Linked DNA regions of Anolis sagrei. The protein of the gene in region 3 purifies or fractionates together with the protein of the main gene of each other region. This does not show direct contact. Links are inferred from orthologs where the notes say so. Each region holds a gene or a part of one and is shown on either strand. Other genes may lie near its edges. The genes, in order: MIER1, EHMT2 and CDYL.

What was found.
Region 1: the proteins of CDYL (region 3) and MIER1 purify together in Homo sapiens (co-immunoprecipitation; 3 studies listed by BioGRID and IntAct, counting the BioPlex papers as one, with this or other methods). This does not show direct contact. The link is inferred for Anolis sagrei from reciprocal best matches to the Homo sapiens genes CDYL and MIER1.
Region 2: the proteins of CDYL (region 3) and EHMT2 purify together in Homo sapiens (affinity purification with mass spectrometry; 4 studies listed by BioGRID and IntAct, with this or other methods). This does not show direct contact. The link is inferred for Anolis sagrei from reciprocal best matches to the Homo sapiens genes CDYL and EHMT2.

What each region holds. Positions count from the first base shown.
Region 1 is NC_090024.1:165,101,557-165,108,635, forward strand, and holds the start of MIER1 (mesoderm induction early response protein 1), read right to left. Parts: upstream 3,090-7,079; 5' UTR 2,869-3,089; coding exon 2,860-2,868; intron 1-2,859. UniProt on the Homo sapiens protein: Transcriptional repressor regulating the expression of a number of genes including SP1 target genes. Probably functions through recruitment of HDAC1 a histone deacetylase involved in chromatin silencing.
Region 2 is NC_090022.1:18,398,948-18,406,234, forward strand, and holds the start of EHMT2 (histone-lysine N-methyltransferase EHMT2), read left to right. Parts: upstream 1-4,243; 5' UTR 4,244-4,295; coding exon 4,296-4,316; intron 4,317-7,287. UniProt on the Homo sapiens protein: Histone methyltransferase that specifically mono- and dimethylates 'Lys-9' of histone H3 (H3K9me1 and H3K9me2, respectively) in euchromatin.
Region 3 is NC_090024.1:86,533,050-86,541,062, forward strand, and holds the start of CDYL (chromodomain Y-like protein), read right to left. Parts: upstream 3,004-8,013; 5' UTR 2,458-3,003; coding exon 2,434-2,457; intron 1-2,433.

The DNA.
Region 1 (7,079 bases), about 79 Mb from region 3:
AGTAAAAAATTAGGTTCCACTCCTTATTAAAGGAGCTAAAATGAATGGTTTCACTAGGCCTAGAAAATGTACAAAGTTGTTTATTATTGCCTCTTCCATTGTGGCATCCTGATACTATAATGTCTAGTTGTTTTGGTGTGTTGAGTTTTCTTGCCCATGTTGTTTTGATCTAAGGATCATTTCAAAACTAATTTAAAATAAAGATTAAGAGTAAAACACCTTTTACTCTCAGTATCTATTTTTAATAATTATTTTGCTGCTAATTGTATTTATTTTATTGCTTTGTTTACTATGCTTTTAGAACTTCTATATAATCCACTGTGAAGTGCAGAATTCCATACATATCACAAATGCATAAATAAACATGGTGAAAATTCTATCATTAAAAAAAATGCTTCTGATAACCACCTTGGAAAAAATGAAATATATAGGATAAAGCAGGTGTTCAACTCTTTCCTTTGTCACATATTTAAAGTATGGATAGCATAGGGACTCCATGCAGAGTCCAACTGAGTTGTAAACACATGAAATTTTCTCCTTCAAAGAAGTCACTGAGATGAGGGAATCTATTAATCACAGCACTAAAGTTTCAGAAATGACTCAACATAGAACATTCATGTAACTTTTAAAATGTCCAAAATAAAGACACCATGTACATAGCATTACTGCTTGGAGAAACACCAGAATTAAACTTAGGTGAGTAACTATTTACAATCTTACCCTATATACTTATGTATAGGTCTAAAAAAATAGTCAAAAAAACTAACTCAGAAAAACTGGGCTGACTTACCCATGAGTCAATGTGAGTACTATATCTTAGCTCTTGTATATAAAAAGAGACCATTCTTTCTCTGAGTACAGTGGTGAAAGGTAAGAGCTTAGACTATTCCAGGAAAACTTAAAAGAAGCACCAGCCGTCTCTACTCTCTCTGTCTTGGCATCACTTCTAGTCTTTTTGAATGCCTGGGTGGGGAAATGGCAGTGATGGACTTGAGGAGACGGCACTTCCCCTCTCTGTGAAATGACTCTTCGATTATCCACAGGTCATAGCAAAATCCATAATTCTGAACCCTAAACCTGAACCTGACTTATACATGAAGTCAACTTATAAATAAGTATATAAGGTAGTTTGAAGACTTTGCCTTCAGCAGTAAAGAACACCCAACTTTCGTGTTCCAAATTTCTACATTATACTACTATCCATTTTGAGTGATTGAAACATATACTTCTGTGGTTGTGAGATATATGTTGGGTATGGCTCTGGACAACTCGCATTTCCTTTGACTTATATATTATGTAGGGTTTTGTTTTTTTTGCTAAATTCAAAAGCGGTCTTCAGTCACTATCTTTATATTTTTATGTATCTTTCACCACCTGGATCTTGAGTTATTGGACAGCCTTTAAGATTCAATTTTGCTCAGTGAGGACCCTTCCACACAGTCATATAATCCCACAACATCTGCTTTGAACTGGGTTATCTGAGGGCTGTTCTCACCATATGTCAACCCATAGCCACTTGTATCACAAGTTTATTATATTGGAGTCGATTTTTACCCCGCATGAGTACACCAAGGCAAGACCCAAAGCGACTTAACACAGGTATGGACAAATTTCAGCCCTCCAGGTGTTTTGGACTTCAACTCCCACAATTTCAAACAGTTGGTAGGCTCTTAGGAATTGTGGGAGTTGAAGTCCAAAACACCTGGAGGGCCGAAACTTATCCATACCTGTGTTAAGTCGCTTTGGGTCTTGCCTTGGTGTACTCATGCGGGGTAAAAATCGACTCCAATATAATAAACTTGTGATACAAATGGCTATGGGTTGACATATGGTGAGGGTTTTTTTTTTGTTTTTTGTCGTGTCAGGAGTGACTTGAGATACTGCAAGTCGCTTCTGGTGTGAGAGAATTGGCTGTCTGCATGGACGTTGCCCAGGGGACGCCCGGATGATTTGATTTTTTATCATCCTTGTGAGAGGATTCTCTCATGTCCCCGCATGAGGAGCTGGAGTTGATAGAGGGAGCTCATCCGCCTCCCCGGATTCGAACCTGCGACCTGTCGGTCTTCAGTCCTGCCGGCACAGGGGTTTAACCCACTGCGCCACCGGGGGCTCCATGGTGAGGGGTGCATAGTCAAGACTGGGCAAAAAAATTTTACTATTTTTTTTAAAAAAAATGAATCAGCTTGAAAGAACAGAGGAAAAAAGAGGTTCAGCATAAAGAGTCCCCTAAATCAAAGGATAATAATATTACCTAGATTGGGCATGAGCAAACTTGGGCCCTCCAGATGTTTTTAGACTTCAACTCCCACCATTCCTAACAGCCTCAGGCCACTTCCTTAAGTGGCTGAGAGGGAAAAGGATGGGGCCTGAGGCTGTTAGGAATGGTAGGAGGAGTGGAAGTCCAAAACACCTGAAGGGCCCAAGTTTGCTCATGCCTGTCGTAAGTTCAACAATAGCCAAAAAAGCGAGGTAGGGGCAACTTGGGTGACAATTTGATCATCCCAGGCAGCAAGATACCAGCCTTTTCCCTCGCTATTCCATCCAAAAATGTCCTTTCCCCTTTACCTTCCCTGTGTCCCAAGGCAGAGCTCCCCCCTTCCTCCCCCTCCTTCCCCTCCAAGTTCCAGTGGGGCCCTGAGAAGGCTGCGAGTTCGAGTCGTGCCCCGCTTGCCACCCAGGCCGGCCTTGGGACCTTCAGCCGAACTAACTTGCACAGAGAGGCTGCCGCGCAACAAGTTCCCGGCCGGGCCCCGACTCCCCTCTCTCTCCTCTTCCTCCTCCTCCTCCGGCCTCCTCCTCCCTCTCCCCCTCCCTCCCTCCTTCCTTCCTTCTAGACGCCCGCGGGTCTCCCTCACTCACCTCCGCCATATTCGCCGCGCAGCTGGGGCGGGCCGAGCCGGGAGTGGGGTAATCACATCGCCGCCGCGGCGGAGGAGGAGGAGGAAGTGGCACGGGAAGGGAGCGAGAGCGGCGGGTCACAGCGGTCTCTGGGAGGCGGCGAGCTCTGCTAGGGAAGGAGGGAGGGAGAGAGGGAGGGAGGGAAGGCGCCACCAGGGGGAGGAAGAGGCCCGGCGACGTCACCACGCAAAGGAGGTGGGCGCGCCCGCGACGGCAGCGGCGGCGACGACGACGCCTCTCCCGCGCGCTCCTCCTCCTCCTCTCTCCTCCCCCTCCCTTTTTCGACCAGTCACGAGACCATTTGTTTGATTGGGGTTTTATTTTTTTTTAACCTCCGCGCGCGCGCTGCGTTCGAGAAACGACACCCTCCTCCCTTTTCCCCCTCCCATTCTTCCAACTGTAATTACGCTCGCTCCCCCCTCCCCCCTCCTTTTTGAGGGCAAGAATAGAGCAAGGCTCGTGCCCCCCTCGTTAGGTGTCACGCAGGCCTGCCTTTGCATAATAATAATAATAATAATAACAGCGCGCAAGATTGCAGATGTTTCCCATGTCTTTGGGGCCCCTTCCAGTCTCTATAAATAAAAATGTCATGTTAGTTCGTGCTACCATCAAAACTCAAAAACCACTGGGGGAATTGACACCAAATTTGGACACAAGACACCTAACAGTCCAATTTATGTCCTCCACTCAAAAAAAATGATTTTGTCATTTGGGAATTGTCGTTGCTGGGATTTATAGTTTACCTACAATCAAAGAGCATTTTGAACTCTACCAAGGATGGAATTGGGCCACACAGGGCTCCCATGACCAACAGAAAAAACTGGAAGGGTTTGGTGGACATTGACCTTGAGTTTGGGAATTATAGTTCACCCACATCCAGAGAGCACTGTGGACTCAAAAAATGATGGATCTGGAACAAACTTGGCACGAATATTCCATATGCCCAAATATGAACACAGATGGAGTTTGGAGGAAATAGACCTTGACATCTGGGATTTGTACTTACTGGGATTTATAGTTCACCTACAATCAAAGAGCATTCTGAACTCCACCAATGATGGAATTCAACCAAACATGCCATACAGGACTTCCATGACCAACAGAACACATTGGAAGGGTTTGGTGGGCATTGACCTTGAGTTTGGGAGTTGTAGTTCACCTACATCCAGAGAGCACTGTGGACTCAAACGATGGATCTGGACCAAACTTGACACAAAAATTCCATATCCCTAAATATGAACACAGATGGAGTTTGGAGGAAATAGACCTTAACATTTGGGATTTGTAGTTACTGGGATTTATAGTTCACTACAATTAAAGAGCATTCTGAAACCCACAAACGACAGAAATGGGGCAAACTTCCCACACAGAACCCCCATGACCAACAGAAAATACTTAAGGCCATCCAGTCCAACTCTCTTCACCAGGGCAAGAAAACGTAATCAGAGCCCTCCTGACAAAGAGCCATCCAGTCATAAATATAGATAGATAGATATGATTCTCTCACACACAGAGAGATATAGGATCATAGATTTGAAAGAGACCCTTAAAGAAGGACTATGATAGGTTGCATATTCCAGAGGTGGCAAACCAGACACTCTCCACATCAACACTGACAAAGAAACAACAAGAAATACTGTTTACTCACAAGCATAAAGGAATTACATATATTAGAAACCAACACTTTCTCATTACTTTATTTTCCAGATCACCAGACTGGGCCACAGCAACGCGTGGCAGGGGACAGCTAGTAACTGAATAAAATCCCACATTATCTGATTTGAACTGGGATATATCTCACTGTGGACTCAGTAACCCAGGGCCCTTCCACACAGCCATCTATATATATAAATTTGTTAGGGGCATCCAACAAGGAAACAAAACTCAAAAAACCCCCAACGAAACTTAACCAAAATTCCCATGCCCATAACACAACCCACAAGGTACAAACATATCTACTCAAAATGAAAAACAACACAACAACACACTCACAAAACGGCAAAACAACAAAACTCAAAAATCCCCCAACGAAACTTAACCAAAATCCCCGTGCCCATAACACAACCCACAAGGTACAAACATACCTACTCAAAATGAAAAACAACACAACAACACACTCACAAAACGGCAAAACAACAAAACTCAAAAATCCCCCAACGAAACTTAACCAAAATCCCCGTGCCCATAACACAACCCACAAGGTACAAACATATCTACTCAAAATGAAAAACAACACAACACACTCACAAAACGGCAAAACAACAAAACTCAAAAATCCCCCAACGAAACTTAACCAAAATTCCCGTGCCCATAACACAACCCACAAGGTACAAACATATCTACTCAAAATGAAAAACAACACAACACACTCACAAAACGGCAAAACAACTGAGCATGCGCATTGGCGCCCAGCCGCAAGTTCCATCGCGCGCACACATGGCCTTCCGGCCAACGTTCCCTCTGCGGAAACCATGCCCACTCCAAGCCCCGCCGCGCCGCTTCCTGCACACACACACCCCCTGCCGCACGCACACACGCAACCCCACGCTCCATCACTCCCCCCGCTGCCGCACACACACACGCAACCCCACGCTCCATCACTCCCCCCACCGCCGCACACACATGCAACCCCACTCCCCCCGCCGCCGCACACACACAGGGAGGGAAAGAAGGAGAGAAAGAGGGAAGATTGGCCACAGCAACACGTGGCGGGTAAAGGTTGTTATTTCTATTATTATTATTATGATGCTATTGTTCCTATGAGACCCTTTTAGGGGGAATGGGAGAGGTGTCAGGTCCCAGAGGCAATGCATTGCATTATTGTTATTGTTATGATGGTGGTGAAATAAAAGGAAATCAAAAGTGAAAGAAGGAAGCAAACAGGGAGGGAAGAAAGGCAAAGGAAGAAAGGGGGAGGGAATGAAGGAAAGAGAGAAGGATGAAACCAAGTAGTGAAAGAAGGAAAGAAAGAAAGAGGGAGAGAAGGAAGAAAGTAGAGAAAGGGGGAGGAAAAGGGGGAAGGAATAGGTAGGTACCTCTCTTTCATAATAGTCCAGATATCTACCTCAACTTTGATAAGTTTTACTATAGGCCACAGCAACGCGTGGCAGGGCACAGCTAGTATAACCTATTATATCAGGGCAGAAAATCCCACAATATCTGCTTTGAACTGGCTTATCTGAGTCCACTCTGTCATATACCCCAATTTTGTTCAGAGGTGTGGAAGGGACCCCAATTCAAAGCAGATCATCTGGATTTTATACGCAATGTAGGACCTTTCCATATAGCTCTATATCCCAGAATGTCAAGGCAGAAAATCTCACAATATCTGCTTTGAACTAGGTTATCTGAGTCCACACTGTCATATACCCCAGCTCAAAGCAGATAATGTGGGATTTTGTTCAGAGGTGTGGAAGGGGCCCCAGTTCAATGCATATCATCTGGATATTATATGCAATGAAGGACCTTTCCACACAGCTCTATATCCCAGAATATCAAGGCAGAAAATCAAGCAAAAAGTGGGTACTAGAAACGAAAGCTGACTGGCACAACCTGGGGATCACAACCAGACACAGTGAAGGCATCTGCCCTTGCGCTATGCTACTCTGTTGCTGAGTATGCTTGCCCAGTGTGGAACACATCTCACCATGCTAAAACAGTGGATGTGGCTCTTAATGAGACATGCTGCATCATCACAGGTGTCTGCGCCCTACACCAATGGAGAAAATACACTGTCTAGCCGGTATTGCACCACCTGACATCCGCCGGGAAGTAGCAGCCAATACCTCCTTGCGGCAATACCAGAGGCACTCCAAGTGGCCAGCTACTGGTCAAAAGACATTTAATCAACTACCAAGCTCGCAAACTTTGTGTTTTGTCAGTTTGTTTGTTTGTTTTATTAAAAATGTAATACAAATGTCTGGTTGCTCCTGACACAATAAATAAAAATAAAATAAAAGGCAAAAAATCCCACAATATCTACTTTGAACTGGGTTATCCGAGTCCACATGTGCTGTCGCACACTGGGCCTGTGCATAAAATTGTAGAAAGGACTTAAATTCTGTGTGCCCAACGGGATGCCGGGGCTGCCTCAGGTTAAAGGCCCTTGGATTTCCTTAAATCAGAGTCTTTAGATTGCTTAAAGGTTCAACAAAGTTCTTTATTAATGAAAACAAACAGGT
Region 2 (7,287 bases), on a different chromosome or scaffold from region 3:
TTAGACCGTGGGTGAAACATCAGTGAGGAATGGGACAAGTATTCCTGGCAGTTTGTGTATGGAAATGGCCTTCAACATTACTTTACTTACTTAGGGGATCCCTCGTAGTCCAAATATAATGGTCCTCCAAATGTAGTGTCTTGCTGATGGGTCGTAGGTGGCTGTGGAGACCTTTTCTTGATCCGCATCTTCTTCCACAGTGAGGACATTGATTTCCAGGTGGAAGGTGGTCCCAGTCAGGGTTGGCTTGACGTGCCTTCCTCTTGGCACATTTCTCCCTTTCGCCCTCAATTCGAGACTCTTCGAATTCTGCAGCACTGCTGGTCACAGCTGACCTTGAGTGTTCAAGGGCCAGGGCTTCCCAGTTCTTCGTGTCTATGCTACCGTATTTAAGGTTGGCTTTAAGACCATCTTTAAATCTCTTTTCCTATCCACCAACATTAAGTTTCCTGTTCTTGAGTTCAGAGTATTGTAACTGCTTTTGGAGATGGTGATTGGGCGTTCAGACAACGTGGCCAGTTCAACGAAGTTGATGGTGTAGAAGCATTGTTTCAATGCTGGTGGTCTTTGCTTCTTCCAGCACACTGACATTTGTCCATCTGTCTTCCCAAGAGATTTGCAGGATTTTTCGGAGGCAATGCTAATGGAATTGTTCCAAGAGTTGAGTGTGATGTCTGTAGACAGTCCACGTTTCGCAGGTATATAGCAGGGTTGGGAGGACAATCTATATATATAAAAATGCTCTGTGCGTAATGAGTACCTTAAAAACAAAAGAACCAATGAACGAAATAACACCAAATTTGGCAACAAAACATCTCACAACACAAGGAGTGACCATCACTCAAAAATTATGATTTTGTCATTTGGGAGTTGTAGTTGCTGGGATTTATAGTCCACCTATAACCAAAGAGCATTCTGAACTCCATCAACGATTGAATTGAACCAAATTTGGCACACAGGACTCCCCTGGCCAACAGAAAACACTAGAAGGGTTTGCTGGGCATTGACCTTGAGTTTTGGAATTGTAGTTCACCTACATCCAGAGAGCACTGTGGACTCAAACAATGATGAATCTGGACCAAATTTGGCACGAATATTCAATATAAACACAGATGGAGTTTGGGGAAAATAGACCTTGACATTTGGGAGTTGTAGTTACTGGGATTTATAGTTCACCTACAATCAAAGAGCATTCTGAATACCACCAATGACAGAATTGGGACAAACTTCCCACACAGAACCCCCATGGCCAACAGCGTTTTCTGGTGGTCACAAAAAGGGAGGAGAAAGAGGAGGCCATCCTTCCTATGGAGGGAATTAAACCTGGAGGTTTGATGCGCCCAATAAAGAGCCCCCTGAACACCTGTGTCTAAACATGTTGGACAGAGACACGTGTTTCCCAAGGAAGGGGCCTTGTCTGGGGGGGAGGGGGAATAAGGAAAGGGATCCCCAATGAGTCTCACTTTACTTTGGATGTCCAGTCAAGCAGCGAAGCTTGCTTTTTCCCTCTCTCCTTGAAAATGGTCCTTCCTACCCACTGGTTCTGCATCCACAACTTGCTGATAGGAAGACAAAAGCTGCTGAGCTTGTTGACTGAAAGGTCACAGGTTCAAATCCGGGGAGTGGCTTGAGCTTCCGTTGTCAGCCCCAGCTTCTGCCAACCTAGCAGTTTGAAAACATGCAAATGTGAGTAGATCAATAGGTACCGCTCCGGCGGGAAGGTAACAGCACTCCATGTAGTCATGCCGGCACATGACCTTGGAGGTGTCTATGGACAACGCTGGCTCTTTGGCTTAGAAATGGAGATGAGCACCAACCCCCAGAGTCAGACACGACTGGACTTCAAGTCTGGGGAAAACCTTTACCTTTACCTGTGTATATAATGGGGAAAAGATTAATAAATGTTTCCTGGGGACAGGAGCTGTTTGATAGTGAAATATGCTGCTGCCTTGGGGTGTAGAGGAGTCTCCTTCCCTGAAGGGTTTTAAGCAGATGCTGGGTGGTCATCTGTCAGGAGTGCTTTGATTGTGTATTCCTGCATGGCAGAATGGGGTTGGGCTGGTTGGATCTTGGGGTCTCTTTCAATTCTAGGATTCTTTGATTCTAAGAGAGTTCTGTCATCTACACTGTAGAACGAATGCAGTTTAATACTACTTTAACTATGTTATGGAATCACGGGATTCATAGTTTGGTGAGGGCTGGAACTAGTTAACAGAAGAAGGCGAAAGACCTTGGAAACCTACAACTCCTAGGATCCCACAGTAATTCAAGTGGCGACAGAGTGACTCCTGAAATGCAGAGAAGACTAAAGATCTCATGAAACTACAACTCCCATGGTTCCATAGCATTGGGCCATGCATAGCAGATCCAGTGAGGTCAAACGGAACAACTTCTTTAACTATGCTATGGAATAATGGGATTTATAGTTTGGTGAGGCTCCAGAACTAGTAGACAGAAGAAAGCAAAAGACCTTGGAAAAGTACAACTCCTAGGGATCCCATAGCAATTCAAGAGGTGACAGAGTGAATCCTGAGATGCAGATAAGACTAAACACTTTGTGAAACTAAAACTCCCAGTGTCCCATAGCATTGGCAGATCCAGTGGGATCAAACGGCACGGCTTCTTTAACTATGCTATGGAATCATGGGATTTATAGTTTGGTGAGGGTCCAGAACTAGTTGACAGAAGAAGGCTAAAGACCTTCGAAAACTACAGCTCCTAGGATCCCATAGCAATTCAAGTGGCAACAGAGTGAATCATGAGATGCAGAGAAGACCTTGTGAAACTACAACTCTCAGGGTCCCATAGCATTGGCAGATCCAGTGGGGTCAAACGGAACAACTTCTTTAACTATGCTACGGAATCATGGAATTTATAGTTTGGTGAGTCTCCAGAACTAGTTGACAGAAGGCTAAAGACCTTCGAAAACTACAATTCCTAGGATCCCACAGTAATTCAAGTGGCAACAGAGTGAATCATGACATGCAGAGAAGACTAAAAACCTTATGAAACTACAACTCTCAGGGTCCCATAGCATTGGCAGATCCAGTGGGGTCAAACGGTACTATGCTATGGAGTCGCGGGATTTATAGTTTGGTGAGTGCTAGAATTAGTTGACAGAAGAAAGCAAAAGACCTTGGAAAACTACAACTCCTAGGATCCCATAGCAATTCAAGTGGCAACAGAGTAAATCCTGAGATGCAGAGAAGACTAAAGACCTTGTGAAACTACAACTCCTAGTGTCCCATAGCATTAGCAGATCCAGTGGGGTCAAACGGCACGGCTTCTTTAACTTTGCTGTGGAATCATGGAATTTATAGTTTGGTGAGGCTCCAGAACTAGTTGACAGAAGGCTAAAGACCTTCGAAAACTACAACTCCTAGGATCCCATAGCAATTCAAGTGGCAACAGAGTGAATCATGAGATGTAGAGAAGACTAAAGACCTTGTGAAACTACAACTCCCAGTGTCCCATAGCATTGGCAGATCCAGTGGGGTCAAACGGCACGGCTTCTTTAACTATGCTATGGAATCACGGGATTTATAGTTTGGTGAGTGCTAGAATTAGTTGACAGAAGAAAGCAAAAGACCTTGGAAAACTACAACTCCTAGGGAACCCATAGCAATTCAAGTGGCGACAGAGTGAATCCTGAGATGCAGAGAAGACTAAAGACCTTGTGAAACTACAACTCCCAGTTTCTCATAGCATTAGCAGATCCAGTGGGGTCAAACGGTAGTATGCTATGGAGTCGCGGGATTTATAGTTTGGTGAGTGCTAGAATTAGTTGACAGAAGAAAGCAAAAGACCTTGTGAAACTACAACTCTCAGGGTCCCATAGCATTGGCAGAGCCAGTGGGGTCAAACGGCACGGCTTCTTTATGCTATGGAATCGCGGGATTTATAGTTTGGTGAGGGCTAGAATTAGTTGACAGAAGAAAGCAAAAGATCTTGGAAAACTACAACTCCTAGGGATCCCATAGCAATTCAGGTGGCGACAGAGTGAATCCTGAGATGCAGAGAAGAGTAAAGACCTTGTGAAACTACAACCCCCAGGGTCCCATAGCACTGGGCCATGCATGGCATGACTGTATAGAATGCACCCTGAGCCAGCCTTGGCCTCCTCCCCTTTTGTTGTCCTTGCTCTTTGTCTGAGCGCCAGGGAATCAAGCTGTGCTGCCCCTTTAAGAGATTTCCTCCTCCTCCTCTTTCCCTCCTCCTCCCCTTGCCTCGCTCGTGACGTCAGTGCGGGGCCGGGTCTGTTGCTGCTGCTGCTGCTGCTGCTTGGGCGCGAGGCCATGGAGGCTGCAAGCGCGGAGGTTTGGGGCTTCCGTGGCTAATGGCGGGAGATCGGTGGGGCGATGCAGAGAGAGGGGAAGGGGAAATAATCCCGAGGGTGGAAAGAGGAAGGGGCCCCGGTTTCCTCCCGTACTCATTGCATGTGGCCTTTGATTTTTGGGGAGCCACATGGGAGGGGCTTGGGTTTGCAAAGGAAATGCAAAAGAAATGTTTTGTGTGGGATGGAGGGGAAGGAGCTGTGCATGGGAGAAGCGGTAGTGTCTTGGAAATTTGGAAGTGCAGTCAAGGAAGGAAGATTCCCCACTGTTCCCAGATTGCATTGAGAGAATCATAGAGTTGGAAGAAGGACCCCAAGGGCTCTCCAGTCCAACCCCATTCTGCAATATAGAGCCAATAACTTTGGGACCTTGTCAGAAAAATCTCACAAATACTCCTTTTTTTCCTATTTTATGGACTTACAGATTCATAGTTGGGAGAGACCCCAAGGACAATCCAGTCTCACCCCATTCTTCCAGGCAGAAAGACACTATCAAAGTCCTCCTAGAATAATAGAATCAAAGAGTTGGAAGAGACCTCATGGGCCATCCAGTCCAACCCCCTGCCAAGAAGCAGAATATTGCATTCAAATCACCCCTGACAGATGGCCATCCAACCTCTGTTTAAAAGCTTCCAAAGAAGGAACCTCCACCACACTCCAGGGCAGAGAGTTCCACTGCTGAACGGCTCTCACAGTCAGGAAGTTCTTCCTCATGTTCAGACAGAATCTCCTCTCTTGTAGTTTGAAGCCGTTGTTCCGCATCCTAGTCTCCAAGGAAGCAGAAAACAAGCTTGCTCCCTCCTCCCTGTGGCTTCCTCTCACATATTTATACATGGCTATCATATCCCCTCTCAGCCTTCTCTTCTTCAGGCTAAACATGCCCAGCTCCTTAAGCCGCTCCTCATAGGGCTTGTTCTCCAGACCCTTGATCATTTTAGTCGCCCTCCTCTGGACACATTCCAGCTTGTCAATATCTCTCTTCAATTGTGGTGCCCAGAATTGGACACAATATTCCAGATGTGGTCTAACCAAAGCAGAATAGAGGGGTAGCATTACTTCCTGACAGATGACCACCCAGCCCCAGGTGAAGAACCACCAAAGAAGGAGACCCCACTAAGGGCCCTTCCACACAGCCCTATATCCCATAATATCAAGGCAGGAAATCTGCTTTGAGCTGGGTTATCTGAGTCTACACTGCCATATATTCCAGTTCAGAGCATAAAATGTGGGATTCTGTGTTATATGGCTGTGTGGAAGGGCCCTAAGCTCCAAGGCAGGATATTTCACTGCCCAACAACTCTTACCATCAGGAAGTTCTTTCTAATGTTTGGGTGCAATCTTTTTTCCCTGTAGTTTGAATCCATTGGTGCATTGTGTCCTAGTTTCCAGAGCAGCAGAAAACAAGTTTTCTCAATGGGACATTGTTTCAAGCATTTAAACAGGGATATCATGCCAATACTTCTTTTGATTTTCAATCTGGACAGTAAATGATGTTAAGATCACAAGTATCCTCCAGAAGGATGTACACAAACATTCATGTAGAGTTTCTAAGCATTTCCTGATAGAACAGTGTTTCTCAACCTAAAGGTCAGGACCTGGGGGGGGGGGGGGGGGAGTCGCGAGGGGGTGCCAGAGGGGTCTCCAAAGACCATCAGAAAACACAGTATTTTCTGGGTTGTTGTAGGTTTTTCAGGCTATATGGCCTTATTCTAGAAGCATTCTCTCCAGACATATCGTCTGCATCTATGACAGACATCCTCAGAGGTTGTGAGGACACAGTCCAGCCCGAAATAAATAAACAAGCGAAATAAATAAAGAAATCTGTGGATATGGAAGACCGACTATACTTGTATACCCGAATGGACCCTAGACCTTAATTTTAGATATTCAGTTGAGAGGAAAGGGCAAACATATAACACATAAACAATAAGATGTGAGATTCCCAATTGTTTTCAATAACTGCAAACCCAATTTCAATCTACATCAGGCATGGCCAAACTCTGGCCCTCCAGGTGTTTTGGACTTCAACTCCCACAATTCCTAGCAGCCTACCGGAGTTGGCCCATGCCTGGTGTAAATGCACCCCTTTTCTTCTTGAGTCTGCATAAGAGAAGTGGGCGGGGCTTACACCTTTGGCAATAGGCCACACCTCTTCTAGATGGGAGCTCCTTGATTAGAACTGGGTTGCACTTGGCTAGTTCTTGCCTCCAAATGGGTCGGAATTACTCCAAATGGGTCAGTTTATAGGAAAAACAGAGCAGGAAGAAGCAGGGGGGGAAAGATGCCCAAGAGGCAAGAAGATTATTTATTATTATTACCATTATTTTTGTTATTAGTATCAGTCTTATTGTGAAGTATGTCAGAAGAGGGTTGTCTGAAAGCTCTGGAGGGTTGAACTTGCTTTCAATTGTTTAAATAGCCAAGATTCAGATGTGGTTTGCCCATAGAAAGGTGTTTCCTGAATTTGGATTAAGGTTCTCTTAGGTATTGGCAGTTGTATGCTGTTGTCTATTTACTGTATTTTCAACCTTTGATACCTCTGGGCAGCACAATTGAAGGGAGATGTTGACAAGCTGGAATGTGTCCAGAGGAGGGCGACTCAAATGATCAAGGGGCTGGAGAACAAGCCCTAAGAGGAGCGGCTTAAAGAGCTGGGCATGTTTAGCCTGCAGAAGAGAAGGCTGAGAGGAGACATGATGAGGGCCATGTATAAATATGAGGGGAAGTCATAGGGAGGAGGGAGCAATCTTGTTTTCTGCTCCCCTGGAGACTAGGACATTGGACAATGGCTTCAAACTATAAGAAAGGAGATTCCACCTGAACATTAGGAAGAACTTCCTGACTGTAAGAGCTGTTCAGCAGTGGAACTCTCTGCCCCGGAGTGTGGTGGAGGCTCCTTCTTTGGAGGCTTTTAAGCAGAGGCTGGATGGCTATCTGTTGAGGGTGCTTTGAAT
Region 3 (8,013 bases):
TTATAGGCCAAGCTTTATAGGCTTTGTTCAAGATACTTCAATGGTTCTACGATTCCAGGTTCAGCAATCTAAGACAACACAGATGTACAGTGGACACCTATTGAAATGTGTACAGTATAACCTCCTTATCCATGGCTTCAACATCCATGGCTTCACTTACGCATGCCTCAAAACAAACAAACAAAATAATCCCCCAGAAGTGTTTGTGGACCCCTCTAGATCAGTGGTTCTCAGTGGTTTGGCCTACAACTCCCAGAGATCCCAGCCAGTTTACTACTGTTAGGATTTCTGGGAGTTGAAGGCCCAAAACATCTGAGGACCAACATGTTCAGAACCGGGTGGCTGTGGGTTTTCAGGGCTGTATGGCCATGTTTCAGAAGCTTTCTCTCCTGACGTCTATGGCAGGCATCCTCAGAGGTTGTGAGAACCTCAGAGGTTGAGAACCACTGCTCTAGATCCTTGAGTGCTGTTCTATGGAATTCTTCCAATGCAAGTATTATCAAAACATAGGATCAGTGGTTGTTCGTGATTTTGAGTATCCATGTGGGTCTTGGAAGGCATCCCCTGTGGATACAGGGGTTGCACTGTACTTGCAGAAAGGTCAAGAAAACTATGGCTAAGCATGCTTCTCATGGCTCTTCCATCCCTTGGTGACATCTCCAAACCAGGAAGTTACATCCAAAAGAAATCCCAACGTGCTCCTGAAGGCATGAAGGATAGGAAACTGCCCACAGAAGTCCGGAAATCAAAGAAAGAGGAGTCACCTTCTTCTCAGCCAGAGAGGGAGAAGACCCCAATGGATGCCACTCAGTGGTTCAGACATTTGTCAAGAGTGAAGGGGGGGGGGGAAGCATGGCCATGTTTCAGAAGCTTTTTCTCCTGACGTCTATGGCAGGTATCCTCGGAGTTTGTGAGAACCCCAGAGGTTGAGAACCACTGCTCTAGATCCTTGAGTGCTGTTCTATGGCATTCTTCCAATGCAAGTATTATCAAAACATAGGATCAGTGGTTGTTCATGATTTTGAGTATCCATGTGGGTCTTGGAAGGCATCCCCTGTGGATACAGGGGTTGCACTGTACTTGAACAAGGGTCAAGAAAATTATGGCTAAGCATGCTTCTCATGGCTCTTCCATCCCTTGGTGAAATCTCCAAACCAGGAAGTTACATCCAAGAGGAATCCCAACGTGCTCCTGAAGGCATGAGGGATAGGAAACTGGCCACAGTAGACCGGAAATCAAAGAAAGAAGTCACCTCCTTCTCAGCCAGAGAGAGAGAAGACCCCAATGGATGCCACTCAGTGGTTCAGCCATTTCTCAAGAGCAGATGGGGGGGGGGGAGCATGGCCATGTTTCATAAGCTTGCTCTCCTGGCGTCCTCAGAGTTTGTGAGAACTTCAGAGGTTGAGAACCACTGCTCTAGATCCTTGAGTGCTGTTCTATGGCATTCTACCAATACAAGTATTATCAAAACATAGGATTAGTGGTTGTTGTGGATACAGGGGTTGTACTACTGTACTTGCAGAAAGGTCAAGAAAACTATGGCCAAGCATGCTTCTCATGGCTCTTCCATCCCTTGGTGAAATCTCCAAACCAGGAAGTTACATCCAAGAGGAATCCCAACGTGCTCCTGAAGGCATGAGGGATAGGAAACTGCCCACAGAAGACCGGAAATCAAAGAAAGAGTCACCTCCTTCTCAGCCAGAGAGAGAGAAGACCCCAATGGATGCCACTCAGTAGTTCAGCCATTTCTCAAGAGCGGAGGAGGGGAAAGCAATGACGTTGACGTCTCAAGTACACTTTGGGGGAAGAGGGACAAAACACCAATCCAAAACTTAGGATGTGGAGGCGCCTCAGTTGGGTGTTGTGTTTTGCATCCACTCTAGAAGGGGGTCAGAAATGGAGATCCAACAAGAGTGGGGATTGGGGGGAGGGGGGAGAAATAGAGAGAGCTGTCCTTCTTGCCCTCCCAGTAGAGGACAGGGCTTGCTTTGGCACGCACACACGCCCCTTATTTTGTGCACACAACCGACTTTGGTGTGCAAAAAAAAGAAAAGAAAGAAGAGTGCGAGAGCGAGGGCTGTCAGCGCCTCTTGGCTTGGCCACCACCTTCTCCTCGTGGCGAGACCAGAAGAGGAGGAGGAGGAGGAGAGGAAGGCTTGGGCTGGCTGGCTGTGGAGTTGGATTAGAAGAAGAAGAGTGGCAGAGGAAGCCAACGGGCAGCACTTTGCCGCCGCCTCCTCCTCCTCCTCCAGTCCTATTTCCGTCCTCCTCCCTGAAAGAAAGAGAGAGAGAGAGAGCAAACTGGGGGAGGGCGCCCAGAGAGGGGCGTAATTTGGAAGCACACAAGCAGCACACGCACCTAGGCCGAGGGAGAGGGGGAAGGGAGGGGGAAGGGAGAGAGAGGGGCCCGAAAGCAGGCGGCAAGGCTGTTACCTCATAGAGTTCCTCGGAAGCCATGCCTCCCAAGGTGGAGGAGTTGGGCGCGGGTTTGGAGAGACTTTTGTCTCACTTGAGGGGAAGAGGGAGGGAGGGAGGTGGGGCCTCGGCTCCCACTCCTCGCTCGCCACGGCGCTCCTCCTCCTCCTCCTCTTCAGCCCGAGGTGCCGCTCTCCTCTTCCTCGCCGTCCTTCTCCCTCTGGTGCTGCCTCGGCTGCTGCTCCTTGTGGTGGTGGTGCTCGTGCGCAGAACAAGCTGCGCAGTGGGGCTCCCTCAGCTCCCTCCCGCACTCACACTCGCACTCACTCTCGCTGGAAAGGGAGGAAGAGGCGACGATCCCTCTCCTCCTCCTCCTCCTCGGTGCCTGGCTCCTTCCTTCCTTCCCTCCTTCCTTCTAGGCTGGCCAATCGAGCGCCGAGCTCGCGCCCCACGGCTCTAGCAGCACCGCCACCCTCCTCCTCTTCTTCTTCCTCCTCCTCCTCTTCCTCCTCCCCCTCCCCTCCTTTGATCGCCCATTGTCTCCTCAGCTGAGCGGCGGCGCGAGGGGGCGGCCGCGATTGGGCCAATGGCCGCCGGGAGGGGAAAAAGGGGAGGAGCCACCAAGGAAATAGGGAGGAGGGGCGCCAGGAGGAGGGGGGGGCGAGGCCACCCTGCGCCTCGTGGGAGGAAGTGGTGGAGCCTGGCAGCCATGTTGGAAGGAAGGGCTGGGCCCCCATTGGCCAAGGAAAATGGGGCTTCCCAAACTTCTTCTCAAGGGGCAACTGGACCCACCTCCCAGGCATGCTTGGCCACCATTCCTTCAAGTCCCCATTGGCTAACCTTCTTCTTCCATTGGTGGCCCAACTTGATGTCCTTCACCATTTCACCAGCATTTCTCATCTCCTCTTCTTCCTCATCTTCTCCTGCCTGGTCTTCATCCATTTCATCAACATTTCCCATCTCCATGTCTCTTTTTCTTCTTCCATTCCACCATTAATTAACACTAATTTCTTATCTCCATGTCACCTCTTCTTGGTCTATCTCCATGTTCTCCTTCCTGGTCTTCTTCTCCTTCCTGGTTTTCATCCATTTCATCAACATTTCCCATCTCCATGTCTCCTCTTCTTCTTCCATTCCACCATTAATTAACACTAATTTCTTATCTCCATGTCGCCTCTTCTTCCTCATTTTCTCCTGCCTGGTTTTCATCCATTTCATCAACATTCCCCATCTCCATGTCTCCTCTTCCTCCTCCATTAATTAACACTAATTTCTCATCTCCATGTCGCCTCTTCTTCTCCTGCCTGGTCTTCATCCATTTCATCAACATTTCCCATCTCCATGTCTCCTCATCTTCCTCCATTAATTAACACTAATTTTTCATCTCCATGTCATCTCTTCTTCCTCATCTTCTCCTTCCTGGTCTTAATCCATTTCATCAACATTTCCCATCTCCATGTCTCCTCTTCTTCCTCCATTAATTAACACTAATTTTTCATCTCCATGTCGCCTCTTCTTCCTCATCTTCTCCTGCCTGGTCTTCATCCATTTCATCAACATTTCCCATTTCCATGTCTCCTCTTTTTCCTCCATTCCACCATTAATTAACACTAATTTCTCATCTCTGTGTCTCTTTTTCCTTATCTTCTTCCTGGTCTTCATTCATTTTACCATCATTTCTCATTTCCATGTCTCTTCTTCCTCATCTTCTCCTTCCTGGTCTTCATCCATTTCATCAACATTTCCCATCTCCATGTCTCCTCTTCTTCCTCCATTCCACCATTAATTAATACTAATTTCTCATCTCCATGTCTCTTCCTCATCTTCTTCCTGGTCTTCATCCGTTTTACCATCTTTTCTCATCTCCATTTCTCCCCTTCTTCATCATCCTCTCCTTCCTAGTCTCTATCCATTTCACCATCATTTCTCATCTCCATTTCTCCCCTTCTTCCCGATCCTTTCATTCCAGGTCGTCATATATTTCACCATTATTTAACACTAATTTTGCATCTCCATGTCTCTTCTTCTTCCTCATCCTCTCCCTCCTGGTTTCCATCAACTTCACCATTGTTAACACCTCTATGTATAATCTTCCCCATCTTCTCCTGCCTGGTCTTCATCCATTTCACCATCATTTCTCATCTCCATTTCTCCTCTTCTTCTCCATCCTTTCCTTCCTTGTCTTCATCCATTTTGCCATCATTTAACATTCATTTCTAATCTCCATGTTTCTTCTTCTTCCTCATCCTCTCCCTCCTGATCTCCATCCACTTCACCATCATTAACACCTCTATGTATCCTCTTTCCCCCCATCTTCTCCAGCCTGGTCTTCATCTATTTCACCATCATTTCTCATCTCCATGTCTCCGCTTCTTCCTCATTTTCTCCTGCCTGGTCTTCATCCATTTCACCATCATTTAACACTTATATCTCATCTCCATGTCTCCTCTTCTTCCTCATCCTCTCCTGCCTGGTCTTTGTCCATTTCACTATCATTTAACACTCATATCTCATCTCCATGTTTCCTCTTGCTCAGCCTCTCCTTTTAAACCTGCCTTTCAATTCCTCCGATCCAGCTTGGATCCATCCTAATCCATCTCTGGCAAATGGTGACCAGCATAAGTTCATCCTTTCCATCTGTTTATTTGCCTGTCCTTTTTTCCATTTCAAATTTCTCATTTGCCTAGCTTTCTCACATTTCATGGTTTTATCTCTCACAGGTTCTATTTCACTATCTTTATTCTCTCCATCAATGCATCAACAGTTGTTTACATGCTTCATTTACTATCCTGTCCCTTTGCCTTGACCATCCATATGGTCTCCCTGGCTACTTGGATTTTGCACATTCAGACTGTCATTCCCATCCATTTGCAATCTCCCAAAATTTTTATATTTCATCCTGTACTCCTTTTCCCTCCATTAAACTTCTACATATCCAATTATCTCTATCAGTTCATCAATCTAGCATTTCCATTATTAGTAACCTTAGAAGTATTCCCTACTCAACACCTTTTTTAGTTTTCCCGATTAGTCTTCTCATTCATCTTTACCTTTATTGCTTTCACCTATTTCTATTTTATTGTGCTTCCTGATCTCTTCCACTGTCCATCCACTCCCATTTATTTTATGACCCATTCATCCTTAGTTTCCGTCTGTCCACATCTTTGCCTATTTGTTGTTGTTGTTCATTCGTTCAGTCGTTTCCAACTCTTCGTGACCTCATGGACCAGCTTACGCCAGAGCTCCCTGTCTGCCGTCACCACCCCCAGCTCCTTCAAGGTCAATCCAGTCACTTCAAGGATCCCATCCATCCATCTTGCCCTTGGTCGGCCCCTCTTCCTTTTTCCTTCAATTTTCCCCAGCATAATTATCTTCTCTAAGCTTTCCTGTCTCCTCATGATGTGGTCAAAATACTTCAGCTTTGTCTCTAATATCCTTCCCTCCAATGACCAGTCAGGCTTTATTTCCTGACGTATGGACTGGTTGGATGTTCTTGCTGTCCAAGACACTCTCAAAACTTTCCTCCAACACCACAGTTCAAAAGCATCTGTCTTCCTTCGCTCAGCCTTCCCTATGGTCCAGCTCTCACATCCGTAGGTGACTATGGAGAATACCATTGCTTTAACTATGCGGATCTTTGTTGCCAGTGTGATGTCTCTACTCTTCACTATTTTATCAAGATTGGTCATTGCTCTCTTCCCAAGAAGTAAGCATCTCCTGATTTCCTGGCTGCAGTCTGCGTCTGCAGTAATCTTTGCACCTAGAAATACAAAGTCTGTCACTGCCTCTACGTTTCCCCCCTGTATATCCCAGTTGTCAATCATTCTTGTTGCCATAATCTTGGTTTTTTTTATGTCTAACTGCAACCCAGCTTTTGCGTTTTCTTCTTTCACCTTTGCCTATTTACCAATTTTGTTTTACTAAATTCCTGAGTTATTTTATCAATTTATCAAAATATCAATTGGCTATGTAGGGATTTATTGTCACAGAAACAAAATGCTAGCAGACAATTTGAGCAAGAAGAAATTCATACAACAGCAGGAAAATTCATGAATGGCTTCCTAGAAAATGTCTTCAGATCCAGCAGAATAAAATTAATTAAATATTTCCTCTAAAGTGTGGCTTCCTCTCAGGGCAAAATATAGTTACAGAATCAAGACCCAGTCAACTATGGACAGCAGCATCAAGTGATGTTTGACATACATTCAAAAATACTCAGACAATATAAAGTTAATGTATCATAATTTCTCATACACCTAAAATCAGGATTTTAAGAAGGAAGTCAATTTACAAAAAAATGAAAGTATGTTTACCTGGAAAGAAAATACAAAGAACTGATTTTCAGATTTGTAGAGTATGGGAACATCGAACAAGACAAAATGCATCTCAGGATTACTTCACTTCTTCTGCAGCTAGGATTTTAAAACAAAGTACTGTAGGTTGTTTACATTTGCAGAATCCATGGATGGGCAAAGCTTATTGACACCAATTTCTGCAGCACTGAATATGTTCTCAGAAGAGATTTAAATGGATGGATTACAAAGTAGGGGTTTTTTTTTTTTTTGGTTTATGTCAGACTGGGAAGTAGTGAATTTGTTTCCTAACAGGTGAATCACCAAAGTCGTAATTTTGCTCATTATTGTATATTCAGTTTCATTTTGCATGGTCAGTCTTAGCTATGACTCTTGTAGAAGATGCAGACATTTCAGAAGTTTCATTGACTATTTCTGGGTTATAAATTATGGTTAGAGAAAAAAAAAACCTTTGCCCAAAAAGGGATATATATATATATATATATATATATATATATATATATATATATATATTCTTTCTTGGTAAAACAGTTTGGTTGACCAATATTGTCTTTTGTACGAAATGTCTTGAGATTATGAGATACACTCAGATTGAGCATTCAACAATGATATCAAAAGCAGATGCTTTCTTTTCTTTTTTTGAGGTTTCATGTGCTCATCCTCTCTTAAGTTACCTATGTTGCTTTAAACACTGAAGTATATCCTGGATGACTGTCAGAAATATTCAAACTATTCAACACATTAGCATTATGAAATATCAATTATTTTATCAAAACTAGTGCTCTAATGGCATTCTCAATCAAGTTCCACTCTAATAAAGAAAAGTTCAGGAGAGGTTTCTCAACAAGGAACGTAAATTAGATCAACAATATATGTAGCATGAAAATATCTAGCATTATACAAGTAGAGTTCCATGTTGTGATCAAGTCCACTAGCAGTGTTCTCATAGCACAATCTTTATATTTACTAAAACTAGAACATCTCTGTATAACCTATTGGAAACAAAAATTCCCGGTGACTTGCAAGACTACATAGCCAAAGTTACATAAAGTTTGTTATCATTTCTCTGCAGCGTATCACATTTTATATTTCCAGATTTTGATTGTATTCATTGTTGTGCACTATCCAATCAACTTGCTAGCTCTCTCCCAGTTTTCTGCCATCTCTTAATACCATACTTGTGAACACTTTATGTTATCATCACTTTCTTCATCTAAAGTGTTACACTACAGAAGTACTACTTGTGATCTAGGCCCCTTTCACACAGTTGAATAAAATCCCACAT